3 linked regions of the Notamacropus eugenii genome follow. The main gene of each other region encodes a partner of the protein of the gene in region 3 in a complex. Links are inferred from orthologs where the notes say so. Each region holds a gene or a part of one and is shown on either strand. Other genes may lie near its edges. The genes, in order: EZH1, JARID2 and EED.

The links.
Region 1: the proteins of EED (region 3) and EZH1 are in contact, whole or in part, in a cryo-EM structure (PDB 7KTP), measured with the Homo sapiens proteins. The link is inferred for Notamacropus eugenii from reciprocal best matches to the Homo sapiens genes EED and EZH1. Residues at the interface, in NP_003788.2 of Homo sapiens: Cys84, Val85, Asn86, Ser87, Leu88, Lys89, Glu90, Asp91, Trp103, His104, Ser105, Lys106, Glu107, Val112, Arg120, Leu123, Tyr124, Gln129, Gly130, Glu131, Ile132, Arg133, Leu134, Leu135, Gln136, Ser137, Tyr138, Val139, Asp140, Tyr154; in NP_001982.2 of Homo sapiens: Gly37, Ala38, Lys39, Leu41, Tyr42, Val43, Asn45, Phe46, Lys48, Val49, Gln50, Lys52, Thr53, Gln54, Leu56, Asn57, Glu59, Trp60, Leu63, Arg64, Val65, Gln66, Pro67, Val68, Gln69, Ser70, Met71, Cys83, Thr84, Ile85.
Region 2: the proteins of EED (region 3) and JARID2 are in contact, whole or in part, in a cryo-EM structure (PDB 6C23), measured with the Homo sapiens proteins. The link is inferred for Notamacropus eugenii from reciprocal best matches to the Homo sapiens genes EED and JARID2. Residues at the interface, in NP_003788.2 of Homo sapiens: Pro95, Phe97, Tyr148, Arg306, Asn307, Tyr308, Cys324, Asp362, Ile363, Trp364, Tyr365, Arg414, Asp430; in NP_004964.2 of Homo sapiens: Pro109, Gln114, Arg115, Lys116, Phe117.

The regions. Positions count from the first base shown.
Region 1 is NC_092873.1:359,238,323-359,241,922, reverse strand, and holds the start of EZH1 (histone-lysine N-methyltransferase EZH1), read left to right. Parts: upstream 1-953; 5' UTR 954-1,042; coding exon 1,043-1,046; intron 1,047-1,635; exon of another isoform or gene 1,636-2,244; intron 2,245-3,600.
Region 2 is NC_092875.1:187,484,513-187,495,392, forward strand, and holds the start of JARID2 (protein Jumonji), read left to right. Parts: upstream 1-4,844; 5' UTR 4,845-5,636; coding exon 5,637-5,681; intron 5,682-10,880.
Region 3 is NC_092876.1:115,114,754-115,125,633, forward strand, and holds the start of EED (polycomb protein EED), read right to left. Parts: upstream 6,880-10,880; 5' UTR 6,680-6,879; coding exon 6,566-6,679; intron 1-6,565. UniProt on the Homo sapiens protein: Polycomb group (PcG) protein. Component of the PRC2/EED-EZH2 complex, which methylates 'Lys-9' and 'Lys-27' of histone H3, leading to transcriptional repression of the affected target gene.

The sequences.
Region 1 (3,600 bases), on a different chromosome or scaffold from region 3:
AGTCAGGCTGAGCTGCCTTCCAGCTGTGGAAGAAACCAGCCCCACATCAGGTTGCTGAAGGAAAAGATTCTGGGAAGACATGAGAGGAGTTCTTTTTCTCCATTATGTCCCTGTTCTCAGCTTGCTACTCTAGAGACTTCAGGGGAAGTTTTCCTTGGGTGGGATTCAGGATTCTTTCTCGGTTGAGCTGAGTTATTTTTCTCCTAATGGAACAGCTCCCTCATTTTGTATTGTCTGGTATTTATTTTCCCATATATACCTTCTCTAATTTGTTTTGATACTGATTGGGATAAATGGAATTTTTTTTTTGCCATTTGCTATATGTGTTCATTGTATGGAATTGGTATTAGCTGAGCAAGGGGTCGTCAGCCTGGGGACTACCCTCCCCCCCATGACTCCCTCTCCCTGAGGAGAGCAGAGGGGTGGCCGGTGGTCGGTCCCAACCTCCGGCTTCCCCTTCTAGCAGTAATGAAAATCTCCCTTGGAGAAGGGGTGGGGTGGGGAGTAAACGGTAGAGATGGGTAATGTCTTTCCAACCACACACAAGGGTCGCCTTGGATAACCCCTGGCCTCCCCACAAGGGGCCCCTCTACCCAAGTGGGACCCTCTAGTCATATCTGCCCTGGAGCATTTATGAAGCTCTTACTGCATGCAAAGCACAGAAAAGGAAGAAGCCCGTCCCTGCTCTCAAGAGCGCACATGCTACTATCATATCTCGTGTACTGGGTGAAAGCGGGTCTCGGCTACGGGGCACACCTTCGTACCCGGCAGGACCTGCCCATCCTGCTTCCGGCGGTCCAGCCTCTCAAGGCGAGAGTGGGGCTCACGCGCCCGCGCCAGACACCCGAGGTTCGTAAGCACAAAATGAGCACGCGACGAGGAACGCCCGCGCCCAAAAAGAGGCCAGCGCAACCAGCCCCGCATGCGCAGGCGCAGACGATCCTGAGCAAGCGCAGGAAGGAGGGCTGCGCAGGGGGCGGGGCGAGGAGGCTAGTAGGACGCATGCGTCCTGACCACTGGGTTCGCCAGCCTAGGATGGAAGATGAGTGAGTAAACAAGTCCCGGGCCGGGGAGCGGGACTCTGCATGGGGGGGAGCTTGTCGGATGGGACCGAGGGGTCGGGGGTGAAGAGGGGGTAGGGACGTGGGAAGAGGGGGGCAGCCTGCCTGACCGCGTTTGTGGGGAGGCCCCTGGTTCCGGGCTGTGAGGGAGGAAGGAAGATCGCGCGGGTGGGAAGGGGAAAATTCCCTTGGGCTCGAGAGGAGGAGGTGTCTGCCGTCTGGGAGCACCCCCCCGTGGGGGATGGGCCAGGGGAGGCGGGGCCGCGCGAGGTGGGAGGGGGAGGAGAGGTCTGAGGAGGACGGAGGAGAGGTGTGGAGAGTTCACGGAGGGGGATGGGCGGGGCGCGCCAGGTGCGCGGAGGTGTTACAGCCCCAGGGCATCCCCTTGGGAGGGGGGTGGCGTCTGGGAGGGTTGCCGTGGGTTTGGCAGGGAGGGGGTAACTTTAGGAGAAAATCCCTGTACAGCGAGCGAGAGGGGAAAAGTGGGGTGTATGGGGAAACGGGGTTCTTTTAGGGGATAAGGCAGTTTTCTCTGAGGGGCATTCCACTCTGCAGGTTGGGGTGCGTAACAGTAAAAGAGCGTATGCTGGGAATGGACGTACATGTTTAGGCTTTGAATGAAAGTCGGCCTGAAATTCTTAAAGGGTTTGTGTGAGTGTACGAACCCCTTTCTCTCCGTTTGAATGACGACCACCTGATTGTTGGTCCTGCTTATCTCTCGCCAGGATCCTGGGAGTTAGGCGCTGTTATTATCCCCATTATTAAGTGGTTTGCCCAGGGTCATACAGCTGGGGCCAGATTTAAACTCAGGTTTTCCTGATCGCAGAGCCAGTCCTCTAGCTTAACCGGTCTCGCTCAACAAATTTTACGTGCTCTGTGCCAGGTGAGAAGCAGTTTGGCATATAGAGCAGCAGCCTTGGTGTCAGAAAGGCTTGGAGAAGCCCTGCCTCTGACAGTTTGCTGGCTGGGTCATCCTGTTATGCACAAGGCAATATGCTAGTTACTGGCAATCTACATATCCTTATCACCTCAAGACACTAGTACAACAACTTTGTATCCGGAAGAGTAGCAGATTTACATTGGTGGAAGGATCTTTTGTATTGTGTGACTTGACTGTACAAATGAAATAATAACTGCAAATGAAATTATAGGTGTGGATCTTTCCTGTCACCTACACCTACGCGTAAGTATACAAAGCACTCTTCTAGGCATTGAAGATACAAAGACATTAAATGAAAAACAATTCTTGTTCTCAAGAAGCTTCTATTATATAAGGCATACAACATGTAAATAAATAAGTAGGGGAGGACCTTGAATAATTCTCAGGCTAGTATCTTTCCTCTGCACAGCTATCAATATAATCATCCTAAAGAACAGATCATTCTGCTCAAAAATGTTCCCGATACCTCTTGGATAAAATGTACACCCTTAAACCTTATGTTTAATAGCGACTACTATCTGACTTGTCTACTTTTCCAACCACATTTCATCTACTCTACATTAGAGACAAATTGGGCTATTTTTACCTGCTTCTCAAACTCAACATTTCATCTTCTGCTATTGTGTATTCCCACAAACTGTTCCCAGTTCCTGGATATTGATTGGTCCTATACTGTGTCTCTCGGAAGCATCATCTTCCTTCCTTCATATGCAACCATATGAGGTTGCATAGCCTATGTAGAAACCTTACCTGATCTCCCCAAATTATGATTCTTTCCTTCTTTAAATTATGTTGAGTATATATTGTATCCCTTACTAGAATGTTGACTGAGAGCAGGACTGTTTTGCTTTTTTCTTTATAGTCAGTAAACATATTAAGTGCCTATTGTGAGTTGGCACTGTGTATCTTTGGAGATACAAAGAAAAGTTATAACAGGGTCCTTAGCATCAGGTAGTAATTATTGACATAGAAGATATATATACACTGTAACTGCAAGGTAATCCCAGAAGGAAGATACTGAGGTCCCAGAAAGATTTCCTGAAGAAGATGGTATTTGAGTTGAATTTTGAAGGAAGTCAAGAGACAGAGATGAGGAGGGAGAGCATTCCAGACATGGAGCTTCTTCCATGGACAAGGAGGCACAGATTTGGAGGTGGCCTGTTGTCTTTAAGGAATAGCAAATAGGCCAATGTAGCTGAATTCCAGAATGCTTGGAGAAGAGCAGAGTTAAAAAAAAAAACAAAAACTGGCAAAATAGAAAGGGACCAGATTGTGAAGGGCTTTAAGTGCCAAATAGAGGATTTTATTGGGGGGAGAGGGGTGGTTACATGGTCAAACATACACTTTGAGAAAAATCATTTTGGCGGCTGCTTGGAGGATGAGTTGTAATGTGGAGGAACTTGAGACAGCAAAACCTACCAGAAAGCTGTTGTACTAGTGTGTCTTGAGGTGATACGGATACGTACATTTCCAGCAACTAGCACATTGCATTGTGCAGAACAGGAACCTAATGTTTATTAAAGTGGAAGGGTAGGTGAGCCCCTTCCTCAGAGAACTCAGGGTCTACGGTAATTGATTGTAATGGTATGTCCCCATCCC
Region 2 (10,880 bases), on a different chromosome or scaffold from region 3:
AACAACTATGCACACACAAACTATATACATACATGCATGCATGCAGAACATAAAACATTCATGTACCCACAATATGTACATATAAAACAATCAACCATGCACACATAAGATAAACACATATAACACACAAACATCGAATACAAGATACATAGCACAAATGTATATAACGTGACTGTGTACATACAATAAGATAAATGGCATACATGCATGCACATAAACACCTGTGCATACACAAAGATATGTAACATGCATGACTGTATAACACAGAGACTACACGTGATATACATGTATACATGTGTGTGTATATATAATACACACATGTGTATGGTAAGTTGTTGGCATCTGAGAAGAAAGACACTAGCATTAATGGAGGCTGCCACAAGCCTCTTGAGGAAGGCAGGACTGGAGCTGATTTGCTACTTGAAGGAAAGTGGGGAATCCCGGAGGAGGTGAGGAGGGAGAGCATTCCAGGTACAGGGAACACCAGTAGAAATCGGAGTAGGGATACGGAGGGTCTTGTTCAGGGTACAGCCAGAAGGCAATGCCAGTGGATTGTAGAGTACATGCAGGGGATGCATACTTCTTAAGTAGAAGAAGACTGGAAAGGTGGAAGGAAGGTGCCATGTTATGAAGTGTTTTAAAAGCCAAAGAGCATTTTCTGTTTGATCCTGGAGGTAGTAGGGACCCTAGTCAGGTCTACACTTTAGGAAGATGACTTTGATTGTCGAGGGGAGGATGGATTGGGGTGGGATGAGACAAGTCAGGGAGAACAGGAAGCAGATTATTACAATAAATAGTGCAGGTGTGAGAAGATGAGGGTCGGTACTAGGATAGCTGCTGTCAGGGAAGAAAACCCACTATACATGAGATGTTTTGGTGGTAGAGATGACAGGATTTCGTAATGGAGCGTATATGAAGGCAGTCAGTTGACATTCCCTTTCTAGGAACAACGGCAATATAAAAGTCTAACCAACTCCAAATTCCTCAGGACTATTAGTGTGTCGGCACCTCAGATACTTACTGGCTGTGTGACCTTGGATGAGTCATTCAATCTTTTTGAGTCTCAGTTTCCCCTTCTGTAAAACAGGGATAATGACATCTGCAGTACTTACCTTATGTGTTGTTCTGGGACTCAAATGAGATGATGTATGTAAAGTGCTTTATAAACATTGAGGGGCCATAGAAACTTCAGGTATTCCTGGAGGACAGGGATGATGTCATATTCAATCTTTCAATCTTTATGTGCTCAGTGCCTTGTCTGTTCTTAATGAAAGCTTGTGCAATTAAACTGAATTTTTATAGGGGTGGTGGTAATAATTGATACAATCATGAAGCACTTTAGAAAACTGGGTAGTAACAGTAATGATAATATTAAATTGGAGTTCGCAGTTCCATATTACTTAGGGCTCCTTGTCTCCCCCCCCCATTTGATTATTAACATGTAATGTGAAAACAAGAGGTAGTGTTTCAGAGTGGTTTGGAGTCAGGAAGATCTGAATTTAAGTCTTTCTGCCATTTCTGGGACTTATCTGTTCTTTTAAAAAAATTTTTTTAAAAAAATTAATGTTTTCAGTTTTCAACAATAACTTCCATAAGTTTTAAATATTCTCCTCTTCCCTTCCCCTTTGTTCCTCAAGATGGCATGCAATCTTATATGGGTTCTACACATACATTCTTACTAAATGCATTTTCATATTAGTCATGTTGCACAGAAGAATTAAAACGAATGGGAGAAACCATGAGAAAAAGCAAACCAAAACAAAACATAACAAAAGAGAAAACAGTCTGCTTCATTCTGCATTCTGACTTTATAGTTCTTTCTCTGGATGTGGATGATATTTTGCATGGAGTCCTTTGGAAATGTTTTACTTCCTTGCATTGCTGTGAAGGGCTAAGTCTATCAGAAACAATCCTTGAACACTGTGGTTGCTACTGTGTATAACGTTCTCCTGGCTTTGTTCATTTCACTCAGCATCAGTTCATGTAAGTCCTTCCAGGCCTTTCTGAAATGTTTCTATTCGTCATTTCTCATAGCACAATAGCATTCTGTTACATTCATACACCACAATTTGTTCAGCCATTCCCCAATTGATGGGCATTCCCTTGATTTGTAGTTCTTGGCCACCACATAAAGAGCTGCTATAAATATTTTTGTACGTGTGGGTCCTTTTTCCATCTTTATGATCTTTTTTGGGATACAGCCCTAGAAGTGGTATTGCTGAGTCAAAGGGTATGCACATTTTTGTAGCCCTTTGGGCATAGTTTCAAATTGCTCTCCAGAATGGCTGGATCAGCTCACAGCTCCACCAACAATGAAGTAGTGTTCCAACTCTCCCACATTTTCTCCAACATGTATCATTTTCCTGTTTTATCACGTTAGCCAGTCTGATAGGTGTGACTTATCTGTTCAACTTTTTTGTTTCATGAACCCATTTGGTTGCTTGGGGAAGACTACTTATTCCTTCTCAGAACAGTACTTTAAAAATCACAAAATAAGTAGGATTACAAAGGAAACTAACTTTATTGAAACAGCGATCACAATTGAAAACAATAACACACACATGTTCTAGGATTTACCTTTCTCTGAAATGAACAGGAATGTGATGGAGCCTTAGCTTCCTAATCTGTAAAATGGATGGGGAGGTGTCCTCTCAGGTCAGTTTCCAGCTTTAAATCCTATGATTCCAAATCTTTACAATTTATTTCACAATTACAAAAAGCCTAATATATTAGGGTTATTGTGGCCAAACATTTCATCATCTACCAGACCAGCCTCCAGGAGGTGATCAACCTGCAGATTATTTCCAGCGATGACCTACGTCCAAGAAGTAGCCACGGCACAATATGGAGAAAATGTATGGTCAGAAAAGAAGGTGGGTCATACGTCCAGACTAAGGAATAACAAGTGGACTGCTGGAACACTGCATTACTACCCACAAAATGCAGAGATCTTCTGTGAAGGATCTATGGGAATAGGAATCAGAGAAGGCGCAGAAAGGTTATCATCTGAGTAAATGGATTCAGGGTTTCCATGAGTGAGATCATAGATTAGCGCAAGTATTAGGGTTAAGAATATGCTAAAAGTCATCAAAAATCGTATGGAAACAAATATAATTCTATCACTTCGGGTTAAATTTTTTTAAAACTTCTGAACAAAAAAAAAAACCCCTTAACATTTACAAAAATCCTAATTAATCGTCTCAGAGGTTCACAAGGTCCCTAAACTCTCCATCTTTTAAAGTCAGTATTCAAACTGGAGGACAAAAATGTGACTTTGGGAACAAGCTTGAGAACAGACACGATATCACCTCTCATTTATTACAGAAATCATTTTCCCTGGAGTTTGTTTTTCCTTCTCCGCCTTAGAGACTTTAAAGCATGGCTCAGGCAAGACTGAAGCTACCACAAAGTTAAACAATGCCGTCTCGACATCTGGTCCCTGACAAACTTGTTAGAGAAGGCTAAATGTGGCTGGTAACCCGGGCCCGCCCGCACCCGGGAGCCGCCGAAGGTACGAGGGGCAGGCGGGGCACGCCCGGGGCTGCGGCGCGGCCAGGGCTGGGGGCTCCGTGGGCCCACGGACTGCTTGCTGGGGTGCCCAGCCCAGGAGCCAAGGGGCCAACGCACAGCCCAAATGCACGTCGGCCCTTCGCAGAAGGGACAAGCCTCTTCACTCTGCCCCCACTCCCAGAGCAGGCACCCTCCAGGCTCCGGGGGAAGCGCTACCACCTTCGATGAAATGACAGTGGGACCCCCCGGGGATACGGCGTGCACGAGCGGGGAGCCCGGATTGCAAGCGGGTGATTACAACCGCCCCGCTGGCCGGGAGCTCGCATTCGCAGGCCGTGGGCTGTGTTGTGTGTGTGCCTGTGTGCAGCCAGGCAGGGTGCGGGGCTGTGGGGACGCCGGGGTACGTGAGAAGGCAGAGGTGACCTCAGGCTACCCTGCAGACGGATTCTGAGCAAGTTCTGCACAAATAAGCCACGCACGGTGTCCTGGAGTGACACCGGCTCGCGAGCCCAAGCAGCAGGCGCCGCCGATCAACTCGTTAGCAGCGAGGATTCCTCCTGGTGTCTGGCCCAGTTTTCCCCCCCTCCCCCTCCGGTACGGGCTCCCCATGCCCTCCACCCTCCGCAGCTCTTTCCAAGGAGAGAGGGGGGAGCCCTCCCTACCCTCCGCCCCTCCCCGGCTGCAGGCCAGGTGCGCAGGGCCGAGCAGCACGATTCCTCGAGCTCTTACAGGCGGCGCCTCGCGCCCCGGGGTGGGGGTAGGGCGGCGGGGCTGGGGGGGTTGGGGGGGAAGCCATCGCGTGAGAGAGGAGGAAATGGGAGGGGGGAGGCCGGAGTGGAGATTGGGGAGTTCCTCGCTCGCGGACCACACGCTCTTCGGGCCAATCGGGAGCCAGCCTCGGGCGCTGTCGCACGCGGGACACGTCCAAGCGTTTGTTGGCAAGGGTTGCGGGGAGGGGGAAAAGAGGAGAGAAGGGGGAAGGGAGGGCGAGGGAGACGGAGAGTGGCGGTGACGCGCGGAGCAAGCTGGGAATCGTAGTTCTCTACCCCCACGGCCATAGCCATTTTGTAGTCGGGGGACTACAACTTCCAGGAGATCAAGGGGACGATTCTAATGCGCCCCGGTAACAAGCGGCTCTCCCCTGGGGCGGGGGGCTCGGTGCACGCGCGGTGGGCTGCCCGGCTGCAGGTAGATGCCGGAGCCGTGGCAGCGGCTCTAGCGTGAGCTTCACAGCGCTAGAGACAAGCTGGGGAAGGGGAGGGGAGGGAAGGGGAGTGGAGGGGGGAAGGTGGAGCGACCGAGCGTGCCATGCAGTGAGCGAGGGAGTATCTGTCAATTACACACCTGGGTTCGGGGCCGGAGAAGAGCCTTGCGGGTTGTCTAGAAGCTACTTGTAGAGTTCCCCCCGACCTCTTGGCTGCAGGGCCAGGGGTCTCTTCGGTCTTCCTCCGGAGGCTTTCAGCGCTGTGGATGGCGTCTGTTCCGTAGTCTTGCTGAAGAAGTTTTCGGCTGGGGTGCCGATGGGCAATTGCTTGAGGATCCCTAACTTGTATAAAAGCAGAGTCCATTTAAAGTTGGGCTGGAGAGCGACTCTCATTGGTTAGGGTGCTTGGAAAAAAGAGACGCGGTGCAGCCCTTGCTGTGGGGCTGTGCTGCCTCTGCCGCCGCCGCTGCTGGAGTTGACTCTTCTGGTCTCACTGCTGCTGCAGCATAAACGTGACTTCCAACATTTTTATTTATCTTTCCCTTTCCTTTTCCAAGATGTAACTACAGATCAGACACTAAGGACCTTCACGTTTTGCTGATGTAGTTTTTGGAGGAAAAAAGGGGGAGTGAAGGGCGTCGGTTTTTTTTTTTGTGTATGTGTGTTTCGGGGGAAATTTTCCATTATGAGTGTTTTACTAAAGTGAATTTTTTTTTGTCTGCTTCGTCTTTGGCTTTTTTTTTCCTTCCCAATTTCGGATTTATTTAGAGGCGAATCTAGCTTTGGGGGAAGAGGAAGAAAAGTCGGATTACAACCATCACCAACAACAATAAAAACCACCAGGATATTTTTTTGCAAATTTCTGACGGCTTAAATTCATGAAGCAATTGTCCCCTTTTGCAATCAGCATTTGGATCTCAGAATGAGCAAGGAAAGACCCAAGAGGAATATCATTCAGAAGAAATACGTAAGTGTTCTTAACAACCCATCCTTTGACTTGCAGTTTGAAGCAATGGCTGTGAATGTCAAGTTTATAGATAATTCTGCTGCTGAAAAGGTTTTACATACAGGGTCCTATGAGGCTGTTTCTTTCTTTTTTGAGAGGGGGATTTTTCAAGCGAAGTCTTGTCTGTCCAGTCTGGTTTACAAAAACACATCGGTGTAGAGATACCCCAAGTGAAATTGACCTCAGATGACACAATCATCCTCTAGTTTCAGATGAAAGGCAAAAGCATTTCGGCAGAGCTTCAGGGCTTGCAGTAACGTAACCCAACTGCATTCTCCAGCGGGTTTGTCTATGGCACTTGGCATACAAATGAGCCAGCTTATTATTATTTTTTTAAAAACTGTGGACTGTGCCGTAAGCCCTTTAAGTTGAAATGGAGTGTCCGATGATGGCGATCTCGTCCCTTTGCACTGGCACATCCAATTTAATGTATGTGGTCGTTTTGCTTATCTGGTTCGCAGTAGAAACCAGTTGGGAATCGTGTTACGGTGAATGCATTTGTTGGGATGGACTTTAATAATGGGGCAGTGGATTAGTTTTGTTTCAAAATTCATGATTTCCAGTTTTAGGGGAGAATGTGTGAGACTTTAGTGCTTGTGTGCGCATGTGGATGTATGTAACTATAAATAATTTCACTGTTTTAACTGGGCTTCCGTAATTGGGTAATCTCCCAAGATTGAAACGTGTGGGAATAGTTCAATATGTGGTTGGTACAGCTACGTTTTGATTGGCATGGGGAGTGTTTTTGTTTTTGTGTGTGGTGGCTTCTTTTTTAAGTGGGGGGGAGAGGGAGGGAAGAAGGGAGACCTGGGGGGATTAGCCAGAGAGGCTCTCGAGCGATTGGTGATTTATCTGCATGCTGAAGATGAGAGAACCCATTTTTAAAAGACCACATCAGCATTCCAAGGGGTGCAGGGTTTTAACAAAGTTTCCGACCGAGACGCCCAAATCGTGTTTTCCATTTTCTTTTTTCTCGGGGTGTGTGGGGTGACCTTCGGGACACTTACCTTTTTGAAAAGGGACTTCATTTCAGGAGAAGCCAAATGACTTCTCTCTAGAGTTGGACGTCTTAAACTTAAGTGTGCAGGGAGGGCGAGGGGGAAGAATCCAGAGCAACTGAAAGCTGTTCTCTAAAGAATTTACGAATTAAAGATACATCCGCATTGCAGAGGACTGGGAGAATGGAGAAGACTGGTTTAAAACTCTGGCTTGTATAAAACTGCCCGGAGACCCAGCCTGGTGTGGGGACATCTCCGCCCCGTCCTGGGCTGCTGCCGGCCTCGGATGCATTTACCGAGCCAAGAGAAAGGGAAGAACTTAGACGGGAGGGAAGACCCCCCCGGCCCCCGCTAAGTTCGACGGGGTGGGTTTTTGTTGGTTCACCGTGAACAATGTGTGAGCCCCGCTCCCGCGCTGTCCTCACGGCCCAGCCGGAGGTGCTGCTCTCGGGGGCCCCGCCGGCTCCCATCGCCCGGGCTGCCCGTGTGCCTCCCTCCGTGGGAGAGCATGTGTGGCTCTGTAGGGGAGAGGAGGGGGCGTGTGGCTCTGGAGGGGACGGTTTTCTGGACCGCCTATAGGGGGCGGATTTCTGGCTCGTGGGGAGGCTCCGACTCCTTCCCGGGTGGAAGGCCGGCGGTGGGGGGGTGGGGGAAGGGAGTGGAAGCCGCGAGCCGACGAGGTGACGGCGGGCGAGCGCGCCGCCGCGGGCACGGTTTCTGGTGGGGAGGAGGGGTCGAGGGTGGGGGAGGGGGGCGGATGCGGCTTGGGGGAGGGGGCCGAGCTCACGCACAACTGCAGCGAGTAACCGACACGCACGCAGATTCGAGCATGGCGGCCCTCGGGCCGCGGGCGGCCGCCGGACCTCGCTCGCCGCCCGGCCTCTAGACCGTCGTGCATACGTGCTAGCGAGCAACAGGTTAAAGCCGGCGAAACGTCAGTGCGGGCCCCCCCCGCCCCCCCGCCTCCGCACCCCCTCCCCCTCCCGGATCGTAATCACTCCGGGCCTGGGCCGCGTTCTGTTGTCATTGTGACGTCACAAAGGGAAGGGCTTGGGTGGAATCTCTCCCTCCCTCTTTCCCGGTGACGTTAAAAAGTAAGGCGGGAGGTTCCCGGCGCGTCGGGGGCTGGACCGAGAGCGGGGCGTGGGGGGGGGTGGGGGGAGACGTGAGCGGAGTGGAGGTGCGGGCCCCGCGCGGCGTGGGCGTGTGTTGGGGGCGGGGCGGGGATGCCACCTAGGGTGCCCCCAGGTGAGGGCACCTGGAGAGCCGCCGACCTGCGAGCGGGGGTGGGGGTGGGGTGCGGAGGAGAGTCCTCCTTCCTGCAGAACCGGATTAGTCATCTCCATCCCGGGCCCCCGATGGGGTGCACTTGTTTGTTTAAAAAAAGCCTGGACACTTGGGCCCAGGGAGCCTCTCGTCCTCGCTGAGTCTGGGGGCACTGATGTGTGGGCCGGTGGGGAGGGGCCCCGTTCCAGACCCCCCACCCGCGGGTGCCCTCCCCTCCTTGTGGAGCAGCCCTGGAAGGTCTCCCACGCCCGTGGGCCAGAACGATCGCCCGACTTTGGGGTGGCTCGTTCCGAGGGCACTCCTCCCGCGCGTGGCCGTCCTGAACTGGAGTGGTGCCGGGCTCTCCTCCCGAGGCCGCATCTTTCAGCCGGGAGAGATGCTTCCCATGCCCTCATCTACGTGGAGGACGACAAAGAGGTGACCGGCTGTCTGGACAGTTCCAGCACAGGAGGGTTGGGGTACCGCCGTCCGCCTTGGGGTCCCCTGCCTCCGTCCTGTGCGCTTCGTAACCGGAATGAGCTTTAAGTGAGCGCTTGTGTCCCACTAGGGTAGCTGCCCCTTCTTACAGGAAAGTGCCAGATCGGTTTCTAAACTAGCCAGTTCTTGATTCGGGCAGTTGGGCTTTGTGGAGTCGGTTGCTTTCTCTCATTCTGCCCGCCTCTCGTTGTCTAGAAATAATAATAGCTCACTTACACAGCAGGAGCTTTCCATACAGTATGCCGTCAGACCCTTACAACACACCTTGTGAGATACTGTCATCTCCATTTTACAGGCGAGGAAAGTGGTGCAGAGAGTTCTTAGTGACTTACTTGCTCAGAGATTCAGTCATCTGTCACACAGCTACTCACCTGCGCAAGCCTGTGTTTAAACGAAGAAGCCTTCCGACGTTAAAGTCCCATTTCTTCCTTAGTGCCTTGTCAGGTTATATTTAATTTTCATTCATTTTCCAAACGGGGGAAACTGAGGCACAGAGAACTTGTGACTGTTGTGTGTGTCCGTTCTTCGTTGCCAAAGAAGACCATGCCATCAGAGAAATAATGACATGACCTGCACTTGACTTTGTTTGGAGTGAGGGAGGGCTGTGCAGGTCACCAGCCTCACTTCTCCTCTGGAGCCATCTGAATCCAGTGACTGGAGATGACCCAGGATGAGGCAGTTGGGGTTAAGTGACTTGCCCAAGGTCACACAGCTAGTGAGTGTCAAGTGTCTGAGGGGAGATTTGAACTCAGGTCCTTCTGACTCCTGCTCTGTCCACTGCACCACCTAGCTGCCCCAACTTGTGATTGTACAGTTCTTAAGGTTAGGCTTTTTGCTATGTATATTCTTTCTGCCAGGTCTTCAAAGAGAGAGAGACTAGTGAATACTTGGATGTGAAAAAGCCTAAAGTGGGTTACTGAAATCAAAGGAAAATGAAGTTTTGCAACCAATAAAAGCAATCAGAAAAAAAGCTTCAAGTATATAATATTAAAACTCAGATCTGTACAGCCTGATCAAGGTTATTAGCTAGGCCTGCCTTTACTTAGGCTAATAATTGACTTCTGAGTTCCAATAGTCATTCCCTTGCTTACCAAGTCAAAAAGAGTTGTTACTTTGTGAGACTGTCTGAAGTTACACTTATAAAGTATGTTAAACCAGTAAGTCCTGCAGGGCTAAGGCCTGGGTTTTTAGCTCTTTTCGTAGTGTTTTAGGAATAACATCAGTGTTAACTCTGGTGTACACTCTGTCCTAAAGGTTATTTCAGTTTTCCAACTCCAGAAAGATCTTTTGGAGTAGTAGGACTAACTACATTTTTCCATATAAAATAAGAGAGATTTTCTTTTCCCCATATGCTCTGAAATAAGACATTTAAAAAGAGAGAAATCCATATCCAGGCTGAGGTTTGCCCTTGACCTGTATGAGTTGGAGTGTTGACCTACTTACTTGAATAAAGAATGAGTAACAAGGTGAATTTAAAGTACTGTATTTGTAGTTCCTATAGTATAAAATGGGCAGATTTTTCCCCCCTGAAATAAAAAGTTTTGGGAAGGTCTGCTTAAAATCACCTTAGTTTAGTTATTGACAATTCAGAATGTGAAACCTTAGAATTTCTTAGGTGCATAGTTCTAATCCTGGTACTAGTATCAGTGCTCTGGAGAAATCAAAGCTTTATTTAGCACCACTCAGTCTGTTAAACATAGTTTATACAAAGTAAGTAGCTTTTAGTGGAATGTGGAGTGGGGGTGGGGGGACACCGAGTTTTATAAGAATGGTCATTCATTGAGGTTGATTGTCTCTGAGATAAAAGTGTTTGTGGTGTGCCTTGGATGCTGTGGTGGGTTGTTTTTGGTGAAGCAGAAATATTGGTAATTTCCTTCTGAAATTCACAGCTTTTGAAAATAGTTGTCTTGATCTTAGTAGTTGCTTAAATGCTTATTGATTGATTGGGGGTCCACTTTATCATAGTTAGGAAGCATAATGTGTGTTTAAATAGTGAAGAGCCAGGCTTTTGTGGTTCATAGTCTCTTCTGAAATGAGCAGAAATAAACTGTGAATTTCTTACTGCATTTTCCCCAAACCCATTTTCTACATGCCCTCCCTGCCCCCCTTTTACTGCTCAAGTCAAGCAAATTGCAGGCTTCTCATGTGACCCTCTCTAGCCTCTAGGCTAGGTACCCAGCACTGATATACATCACTGTAAAATATAATTAGCATTGCCCTTGTTTCCATGTTTTTGGTTTTTTTTTTTTTTGCCTGTGTGTATGTTTTGTCTTGTCTCTCTCTTTAGATTATAACGTCCCAGGGGATTCTGAAACATCTTCTGCCATCCAGTAAATTCTACAGTTTTAAGACTTTTTAAGATCTCTTTCATTCTGTCTACTGAGAACTAGACAAACTC
Region 3 (10,880 bases):
TTGTCTTAAAAGATGATCTCTAAAGACCCTCCTAGCCTTAATATTCTATAGTTCTAAATGTGTTATATATGTGCCTAGCACAAAGTACTGCACCATACACTTAGTAACGTTTGCTGAATTAATCTATCAACATATCAATATACTACCAAAAAAGTCAATGAGAAAATAAAAGTTGTTATCCTGCAAGAATTTAATCATGTGAATATTTTTCAGTTAAAAATGCATCCCTGTAACTATCCTGCAGGTATCACAAATGTAGTTTTCAGATGCTTCTGTAAAACCCTTGCCAACAGCTATCCTAGTAGAGACTTGCTTATCAGATGAAGCCACTTCAGATAAGGAAAATTCTAAGATCTTAAAAAGAAAACAAAACTTCTACATTTATGACTGAAACCTACACTGAGCACTCCTGGTGTAGTTTTTTCAAACTAGTTACCAGGAATGGGTGAATTTATTTTATTTTTTAATAATTAATTTGTTTTCCATTTTCAACAATCACTTCTGTAAGTTTAAAATTTTCTCCCCTCCCTTCTCAAGATGGCATTCAATCTTATATAGGTTCTACACATACATTCTTATTAAACACATTTTCACATTTAGTCATGTTACATAGAAGAATTAAAACAAATGAGAGAAACTAGTAGACAAACCAAACCAAAACATAACAAAAGAGAAAATAGTCTGTTTCATTCTGAGTTCTGTCTCTATAGTTCTTTCTCTGGATATGGATGGCATTTTGTATCAAAAGTCCTTTGGAAATGTTTTAGGTCCTTGCATTGTTGTGAAGGGCTAAGTTTACCAGACACAGTCCTCATACACTGTGGCTCTTACTATGTATAATGTTCTAGTTCTGCTCACTTCACTCAGTATCAGTTCATATAAATCTTTCCAGGTTCTTCTGAAGTCCTCCTGTTTATCATTTCTTATAGCACAATAGTATTCCATTACATTCATGTACCACATCTTGTTCAGTCATTCCCCAACTGATGGACATCTCCTCAATTTCCAGTTTTTGGTCACCACAAAAAGAGCTGCTATAAATATTTTTGCACATGTGGTGGGTGAATGGGTGAATTTAGTATCAGACATGAGAATTATAGAATTCCCAAAAGTCAGGTCACCAAGGTAAGCAGTTCTTATAATCTCTTAACTTCTCTTTCAAGTTCTACTTGAAGGTTGATTCAAGGTTTACAGAAACTGTTTGTGATGGGAGTTTGTGTGTTTATTTTGAGAGAAGAAAAAGAATAACAAGAAAAATTGAAAAACTCTGATGACATTATGGAAACATTCAAAACTAAGTGAAATCTATATTCCATTATAGAATCTGACTCAAAGAGGCCTTGAGAAGCAAACTACTCCACATTCTAGAATATAATTAAGTCTCCCTGGGGAGATACCTACCTTTCCCTCAATGTACAGAGGCAGCTTCCTAACTGTCCTTGATAATATAGTTCAGTGGCTCAAAAATCTTACAATCATGAATTCCTCAAAATGTCTAAGAGTTTGTTCTTTGTGATACAATTTAAGCTAATTTTGTTTCATACTTTCTCAGTGGAATCAAACTATTAGTTCTAAACTAAAACCATCAAAAGAAATCCCCCCTAGGGTTATTTCCTAAATTAGTGATTCCCAAAGCTACTTTTGTGACACAACAATGTTTCCCCAACAGAATGGGTATCATGAACTATTCAAAATAAAATTAATTTCAACTCAATTATGCCATACAATGCTTTTTTTAAATACTGCAACTCTTACAACATTAAATACATAGTGTTTCAATTATGAATACCCTAATCCAAGAAGAAAAAAATTAGATAAATGAGGTTTATTTTTTAAAAGGGCATAAAACATGAAATTTTGAAGTTAGGTACATGAAAGAAATTAAATTCTTCCCTGAGCATTTCTCTCTTCTTTCACACATTTAAAACCTACCACACTAGCCCTTAAACTGAGGCATGGACCCTGAGGTGGAAGGGCCTGCAACAGCAAGGGCTGTATGTCATTAATGACTATGTAATAAATAAGCAAACATACCTTTTCTAGACTGAATAAATTATACTTCTCACACATGTTTTTCTACTATTTTTCAAACGTATGATGATGCTGTTGTAAAAATACAAATACATTTAAACTGTCACTGAACTCATACATAATGATGAATACTACCTATCTTCTAGTACAACTACTACATATAAAGGCAGGTCCCCAAAACTCAAAAAGATTAGAAACCACTGAGAAACTGAATTTGTAGGCAATTACTTTACATTTTGGCTAAAATGTCCTGTCATCAGTAGCCTGGCAATTTTTTTCCTTTTTTGTATTTCTCAAAATTCATTCTTCTTCCACTAATAAGTAAAAATCATCGAATCACAGAGCTAGAGATTGAATGGATCTCAAAAGTATTTAGTTTTAAGATGCTGCTCAGTCACTATCTTCCACATGAAGCCTTTCCTGATCTCCTCAATTGCAAGTCCCTCCCTCCCAGACTATCCTGTATTTAACTACTTTTCCTAACTTTACGTTTACACTGTATATATTTTATATGTGCTTGTCCCCCTAAGTAGAATGAATTGTGTCATTTTTGTACTTGTATCTCCAAGCACAGTGGGGGCCTAGCACTTGGGAGGCTTTTAATAAATACTTGCTGCTGATTGATGATCCACTCCCTTCATTTTATGATGAGGAAACTGAAGCCCAAGGAAACTGTGACTCATCCAAGGTCACACAGGAAACAGAGAGAAAGGACCTATATGATCTTTCCACTATACCACAGTAATCAACCTAATATCTTTTCTTTCTCTATAAGGCAGTAGTCAACTTAATTATTTTGATTTATTTCTCTGATCTCTTTCCAGTGGAAAAATGCATAGATGAGATAAAAAGAAACATTTTATATTCATTAAGCACCTAACATACATATGCATATATGTACCTGTGTTCATGTGTATATGTGTACACACCCACACCCACACACAAGGGGACCATGTGCCAGGTATTAGGGATAAAATGACACTAGGCTTCAAATAACTTACTTTCTGCCAAATGGAAACAACAGTTACATAGAAAAGTAAATATAAATATACATGAAGCCATTTTAGGATGGGGACAGAGTGAATCAGGAAAGGTCTCTTGAAAGAGGTGGTGCTTGGGCTGAGAGTTAATGGGAGTTATGGGTTACAAGAGGTAGACTTTAGCTGAAAGAGCACCATCCAGGTGTGAAGCACAAGTCTATGCAAAGTGTGGACAAGACATGAATGTTAGATTCAAGGAAACATCAACTAGATTGGCACAGCTGGAATAGAGAGCACTTGAGGGAGGTTGGAGGTGGGGGGTTATGTAATCAAACTGGATGGAAAGGTTAGATGCAGATTCAAAAAAAGCTTTAAATGTTAAACAGAATGGTTTGTATTTGATCCCAGAGGCAATAAGAAACTACTGAAACTTTTATTAGAAAATGATGTGGTCAGACCTGTACTTCACATTCATATAGAATATAAGCTTCATATCTGTGAATTCATTTTATACTCCTAATGAAACATTTAACAAGTACTTAGCAGGTGGCCAAGGAGGAAAAGAAATAAAATAATAGCAGTATAAGAAATAGTCTCCACTATTTTTTTTTTAACAATAGCACATGCATGACTGTCCATATATTCTCATTTCACAGATGAAAACAGAATGATTGTCTCTAAAACTCATCACTTATTTCCTTAAACTAGAATTAGATCTAGAACCCAATTCTCTTAATTCTTAGTGCCCACTTTCCCCCCCTAAACCAGGTATTATTTTTATTTTGGGGGGATATAATCAAAGTTAAGTGACTTGTCCAGGGTCACACAGCTACTAAGTATCTGAGGTCACATCTGAATTCAGATTTGCTGATTTTGGGGCCAGTGGTCTATCCACTGTGCCAGTTAGCTGCCCTGAATTAGCAGTAGAGAGAGAGAGAGAGAGAGAGAGAGAGAGAGAGAGAGAGAGAGAGAGAGAGAGAGAGAGAGAGAGACAGAGACAGAGAGAGAGACAGAGAGACAGGAAGAAAGAAAGAGAGAACTGCTTCCCCTTCTACTTCCTGTGAGCTCAAAGGTTTTAAAATGACAAAAAATTCCTTGTGGCTAACTTAGTACACTACTCACAAAATACTCATGGATCTATTACCATATATTCAGACCTTTATTTAAAGTTATCAATAAACATTTACAGTACTGAATATTTCATATAAAACTCCAAATAAGCACTGCCATTTCATTAAATAGATTAGGGCTGGTTTTCCATTAAGGCAACTGTCACCATCAGATTTCTACTGGGATATTTCTATCATACCTTTCCACTATTTCTGGCATTTTTTCTTCTTCTTTAATACTTCAACTCAGAATTGTAAAATTATTTTATTTCTACTCTTCCCTCACTCTTCTATTATTCTTTCCCCTAACCTATCTCCCTAACATATAGCTTTTCTTCCATATATACATCTGTTAGGTTTGATTCCAATACTTATAATAACTTCTTTTAAATTAACTCAGTTGAGAATGTTAACATTGTCCTCTTTAAAAAGATCAGGATAAAGCAAAAAAAAGGTCATTAATCTCTTACTAATTAATCACATGTACAACTGGAATATTTCTTAGTCTAAAATAAAGGTAATTATCTGTAAAACACAAGCTTTGCTCTCTCAGCACAGTAGGACAGAGCAGGGAGTGTAGGACTTGGAAGTAGAGAACTTAAGATCTGAGTCCAAGTTTCGCGATGTAAATTTTTCTGTGATCTTGAGAAGTCATTTAATCTCTTCAGCCTGTTTTTTTCATCTGTAAAATAAGAAAATTGTACTAGATGACCTGGAATCCCCTTTTCAACTCTAAATCTATGATTCTCATTTGTCTGATTATCAAGTACATTATGGTACCAGCAATAGAATCTTAACACCACAAAAATCAGTTGCTTTGAAAAACAAACACTAAAATGATTTTGAGACATATTGTAGATAAACTGAATACAAGAATAGAAAGAGGGCCTATCCTGTGATTTTCCTGCCACAGGTAAATATCCAGCTGAGAAAACTCCATTTACCAAAGCAGGTTGACACAATCACAGAAATTAAGTAACATGCCTAGGGTCACCCAGACAATGTCACAGACCCAGGAATTGAACCAAGGTCTTCTTGGCATTGAGGCTGGCTCTCTATCCCACTATATCATATTGCCTCTGTCATAAGAAGTCTGGAGAACAAATCATTTACCCCCCGATTAAGTTTTGGTGTGCTAATCCAAATGTTAAGTTTTGTGGCTTCTTAGAGACCCCAACCACCTATTTCTTTCAGTGATCCTCTGGAGGTTATAGATTTCTATTACACAGTATTCCTCACTACTCTTATTTAAAAGATTCTTCTTTCTCTTTAGAATGAGGAGTGGAAAGAGGGATGGACCTGGATTTAAATCTCAGTTCTGCCACTTAACATGTATAACCTCAAGCAAATCATTCCCTTCTTCATGGCCTCAGTTTCCTCATCTGTGAAAAGGATTAGATTGGTTGGATTGGATGGATAGATTGGATAGATTGCTGGATTAGATGACCTCCAAGGATCCTTCAAGAAACTAATTTATTAATTTATTTATTTATAAACTAACTTATTAAACACCTAATATGTGCCAGGCACTGTGCTATTTGCTGGGATACAGAAGTAATAATTAAAATCTGTGCTCTCAAGGTGCTTACAATCTAGCTATGTAAGATGTGTCTATCCATGCATGAATGTAAGCATACGCATTATATATGTATGCGTGTATATATATATATACACGAGTAAAAATGGGATGAGGTGAAAGGACAAGCAGCTGGGGAAAGGCGCGGGGGTCCCGCTGGTGCTTCAGAAAAGACTTCAGGTAGGAAGCCGAACTTGAGCTGAGCCTTGGAGGAAGGAGAAGAATTCTAAGCCGTAGAGGTGAGAAGGAGGCACATTCAGGCACCGAAGGTACGTCGGCGCAAAGGCAGAGACAGGAGATGGGAGCACGCGCGGAGAAAGTGAACTACATCCACACTGGAAGGGGCGCGTGGGCAGCGCCCCCAACACCGACTCGCTCTCGGTCTGAAGTTTTCCGAAGAGAGCTGAGCCCTTCTACCACCGTCCCCTCTCCCCGGACGCCCTCGTGGGCCAGCCCTACACTTCGTTGGGCCCCAGTGTGTCCCACTAAAACGCTGGCGCTGGAGGGGGGTAGGTGGAGGGCAAAGCTCCGGGGGGCGCACTACCTGTCAAGCGCACGCCGGGCCCCACGCTCCCCTCCGCGGCACCCGAGAGCCGCACGCCCACGCTACATCACCCCGACCGGCTCCCACCCGGGCACTCCGGGCGCTTCCTCCTGCCGGGGTGGGGGGAGGAGGCGACTGGTGACTCAGGTGAGGTGCCCTCCCCCACGACAGAAATATTCCCAAAGAGCCCAGGGGTGGGGGTCGGACACGTCGTCATCGCCTCCCCACCCGGGGGCTCTCCGCGCTTCCCGACGCCCCCCTTTCCGCGGGATGACACTCGTCCCGCCCGGACGGCGGGGCCACGCCGGCACAGGCGCCCACTCACGTTCTCGTCCCCGGACAGGTCCGGGTTGCTGTTCTCGTCGCTGCTCAGCTTCTGCTTCTTGGCCGCAGGCATGTCGCTTCCCGCCGGCGCTGTCGAGACTTCCCTCTCGGACATGTTCCTGCGCCTGCCCCCGGACTCCTGTCGTCGCGGCCGCGGCCTCCGCCACACCGCCGTCAAGCAAGCCCGGCCCGCGCCGGCCGCAAAGCCGCCGCCGCCGCCTCCTCCACCACTGCCGCCTCCTCCGGCCCCCCCACCGTCGCAAACCGCGCCCAGCCGCCGAGGCGGGCGGGCGTGCGGCCCCGCCACACTGCTGAAAAAGGGGCGCGCGCTTGCGCGCGCCCGCCCGCGCGGCCTCCGCTTCCCCTCCCCTCGCGGCTCCCCCCGCCCCTCCGCGGCTCACCCCACTACCCCCACCAACTCCCCCGTCGCCCGCCCGGCTCCGTTCACGCGAAAGGGCGTCGTGGGTCCGCGGGCTTTCAAGAGCTCTTTCCCGCGTGTCCCTCCAGACCCTGGTCTTTCTGCCCCGTTCCTCACCACCACCTCGAAAATGAGTGGCGGGAATGGAAGGGACTCTCCCTCAACCCTTCCGCCTCCCAAAGCCGTTTAAGCAGCAATTGGCCGAAACCCTGGATCCCCTGACGGGTTTCAGGGGACTGAGAGCCGCCGGAATGGACCAGACCATTGGGCCGCCAACGGCGGGGAAGGAGACGAAGAGATGCCTCTCTTCCTGGGAAATGAGGCGAGGGGTCGCAGTCGTGCCTTCGGCACTGAAGTCGTCATATCATTGAGTGTCGAAGGACTATGGCAACCTAACTCCAGATGCTGGAATGGAAGTAAATAACTGGAGGTATTGATACTTTAGGATCCTCCGCCGAAAAAAATGGAAGTTACCTATGAAGGAGCACGCATGCGCGAGGATGTCGTATGATACTGTCTCCGCAGTTGGACTGAGCCCCGCCCATCCCCGCTGGCCCCGCCCTAAAGCTAGTAGCTCCACCTCCTCCTAAACTGCACTGGTTTAGCGAGAGGTGTAGTGATCGTTACCCTGCTGAAGTTGTATCTGGAAAGCACTGGCGCTCCTTGCTGCAGCCTTAGGGAAATCTGCAGGCTCTTATTTGCTTCCTTTCTTTTTGCCTGCTATCACTTGTTTCTTTCATAGTTACCGTTCAAAGAGCTTCACCGGACAGAGCGCTGGGACCGGAGTCCAAAAGACCTGAATTCAAATCCAGCCTCAGACACCTCCCAGCTGTGTGATCCCCGGGCAAGTCGCTTCACCGCTGTGTGCCTCGGTTTCCTCAGCTCTAAAGTGGGGATAATAATAGCACCTGCCTCCCAGGGTGCTTGTAATTGTACAGTGGTGCTGTATAAATACTTATATTAATTATGCTTAGCATGGTACCTGATGGTCTGGAGATAAGAGTCCCTTCTGGAGGCATCAGGAAAACTCACTTTCCTGAGTCGAATCTGGCCTCTGACACCTAACAGCTGTGTAAGACACTTAACCCTGTTTGCCTCAGTATCCTCATTCTTAAAAAGAACTAGAGAAGGAAATGGCAAATTACTCCAGTATCTTTGCAAAGAAAACTCCAAATGGGGCCATGAAAAGTCCAACGACTGAACAACAAAATTGGTTCCTGGCACCATAGTAAGCTCTTACTAAATGCCAATTTCCTTCCTTCCTGATCTGACCCCCAAACCCCTTTTCGAACCTTATTGCATAGATTTCCCTTCCCACAACAAATACTACTAGGTTTGACCAAACTGGCCTTCTTACCCATTCTTTCTTTATATATACCATCCTGCTTTTTTGTTTGTTTGTTTTTGGGGGTAGGGGTGACTTTGAGACTGACTGTTCTCTATGGTTGAAATGCATCCCCTTCTCATCTCCATGTCTTAGAATCACTAGTGTTATTCAAAACTCAGCTCAAGTGCTATTTTCTATGTGAAAATATTCCTTATTCTTTCCCTGCCCCTTGTATCCAATCCTATTGTACTTTGCATCAATTTAGTAATTTTATATCTATATATTACTTCCCCCAACCATACTGTAAGCTTTTGGAGGATAAAGACTGCTTTACTTCATTTTTTGTATCCCTAGGATGTATGTAGTACAGTACTTGTTCCTATTAAGCATATAGAAAATGCTTAATAAATGTTTGTTTATTGATTGAAATGATTACTGCGTTTTCCTTCACCAGTAAAAGCCCTTCAAATCTAGAATGTTACTGTACTTCCTTCTCCCTCTTCAAAACCCTCCCTGAGTCCAGGCTCTCAACTAAGGCCCCATTCTCTCCTTTACATCTCAAAACCTCTTGATGTCATCCCTCAGTCTCTTATACTTTAATTTAGTCTGTAATAATGATGTTACCCTTACACAAGTCCAGTCCCTTTTCCAAATCTCTAGTACTTTGCCCATCTCAACCAATTCTTTTTTTCCCTCTGTACTTCCCTCCATCTCTCCCTTTTTCTGTTTCTCTCTCTCTCTCTCTCTCTTCTTCTTCTTCTTCTTCCTCTCCCTCTCCCTCCATCTTCAGGTTCCTTCTCTGATGCCAACAACCCATGCATGTACCTGTATCACCTTCATCCAGAAAAAGCTTTCCCTAGATGCTACCATTCATTCCTTTAAGCTATCATTTTGATCTCTTTTTCAGCCAAACTCCTAGATTAAAAGCTGTCTATACACACTGCCTTCACTTCCTTTCCTTTCATTCATTCCTCAACCCTTTACAATCTGGTTTCTGACTTCATCACTCAACTGAAGCTGCTCCCTCCAAATTTGCCAAAGTTGCCAAACCTTATGAACTTTTCTCAGTCCCCATCCTTCTTGACCTCTCTGTAGCACTCAACATTTTTGAATACTCTCTCCTCTTGTATACCCTCTCTTCTCTGGATTTCCATGACACTTTTTTTCTTGGTTTTCCTGTCTCTCTGGCTGTTCCTTTTCAGCCTCCTTTGCCGGCTTCTCATCCATATGGCATCCCCCTCCTTCCCTTCTCCCCCTACCCCAGACACCTGTGTTCCTACAAGCTGTCTTGGGCCTTCTCTTTAAAATACATTTTCATTTGATGACCTCATCCTTTGCCATGGGTTTAATGATCATCTCTATGCAAATGACTCTGAGATGTTTATACTTAAATTCAATCTCTCTCTCAAGCTCCAGTCTCACATCCCCATCTGCTTATTGGACATTACAAACTGGATGTCTCAGAGCGATATCTTAGACTCAACATAAGCAAAATCTTCCCTACCATCCCTATCCTGCTTCCTTGTTTCTCTGCCTCTTCTAAGCTTTTACAGCATCTTGCTTTAATCTTTTTACATATTGCCACGTATGAAAGTTATTTTTGAACATGTCTTATCTGTCCTTTGTTTGTAGAGCTCTGACAGGTACCCTGATTAAAAACAATTGATTGAGTTTGTCAAGTGCAGAGTCCTCTGAAGGAAAATAATGGTCCCAGTCTTGATCAGAGAAATTAAAGGAAGACCTCGCAGTTTCAAGGCAGAATTCATATGAGTACGTAATCCAAAGGGCAGGTCAAGAAGCTGAAAAGAGTTTGTATCAACATTTTCAAAGCAGAAAAATCAGTGAGGAATATATAAAGTTTTGTACATAGGTTTTGATTTGGAAGATTTGAAAGAAATTATCTAGTCCAACCCTCCCCTCCTCCATTTTGAAGTAAAGAAACTTAGGCTTACAAAGGTGATATGATTTGCCAAAGACTACTCAGTCATTAGGCAGATATTTGAACTCCTGTCTTCAGATCCCAGATCTAACAGCCTTTCCACTTACCAGGGTATTGTACTACTCTTGAAAAAGATAACGGGCTGATCCTAAGGCATTAGCAGAAGATTGTTGGTGGACAGCCCCTGTACTGTACTGTTATCCTGGTGATATTAGGAGAAAGAGAGGAAGCCATGCACTCCACACGCCCAGTAGGTTTAGGTGGACACCCTGTGGCAAAGGCTATAGCCAAGGAGCTCACAATCTAATGGGGGAGACATCAAGTAAACAGCCAAAAACAAAAAAAAGGCTACATACAGGATAAATTTAAAATAATCAACCGAGGGGCAGCATTAGAATTAAGATAGGGATAGGTTTTCAGTAAAAGGTGAAACTTTTAGTTGGGACTTGAAGGAAACCAGGAGGTAGAATGAGGAGGGAGAACATTCTAGTCATGGGGGACAGCCAGAGAAAATGCCCAGAGATGAGAAAATGAGTCTCTTCTTTGTGAGTCAACATGGAGGCCAGCGTAATTGAATTGAATAGTACACAGAGAGCAGTAAGGTGTAAGAAGACTGAAAAGGTAGGAGGGTA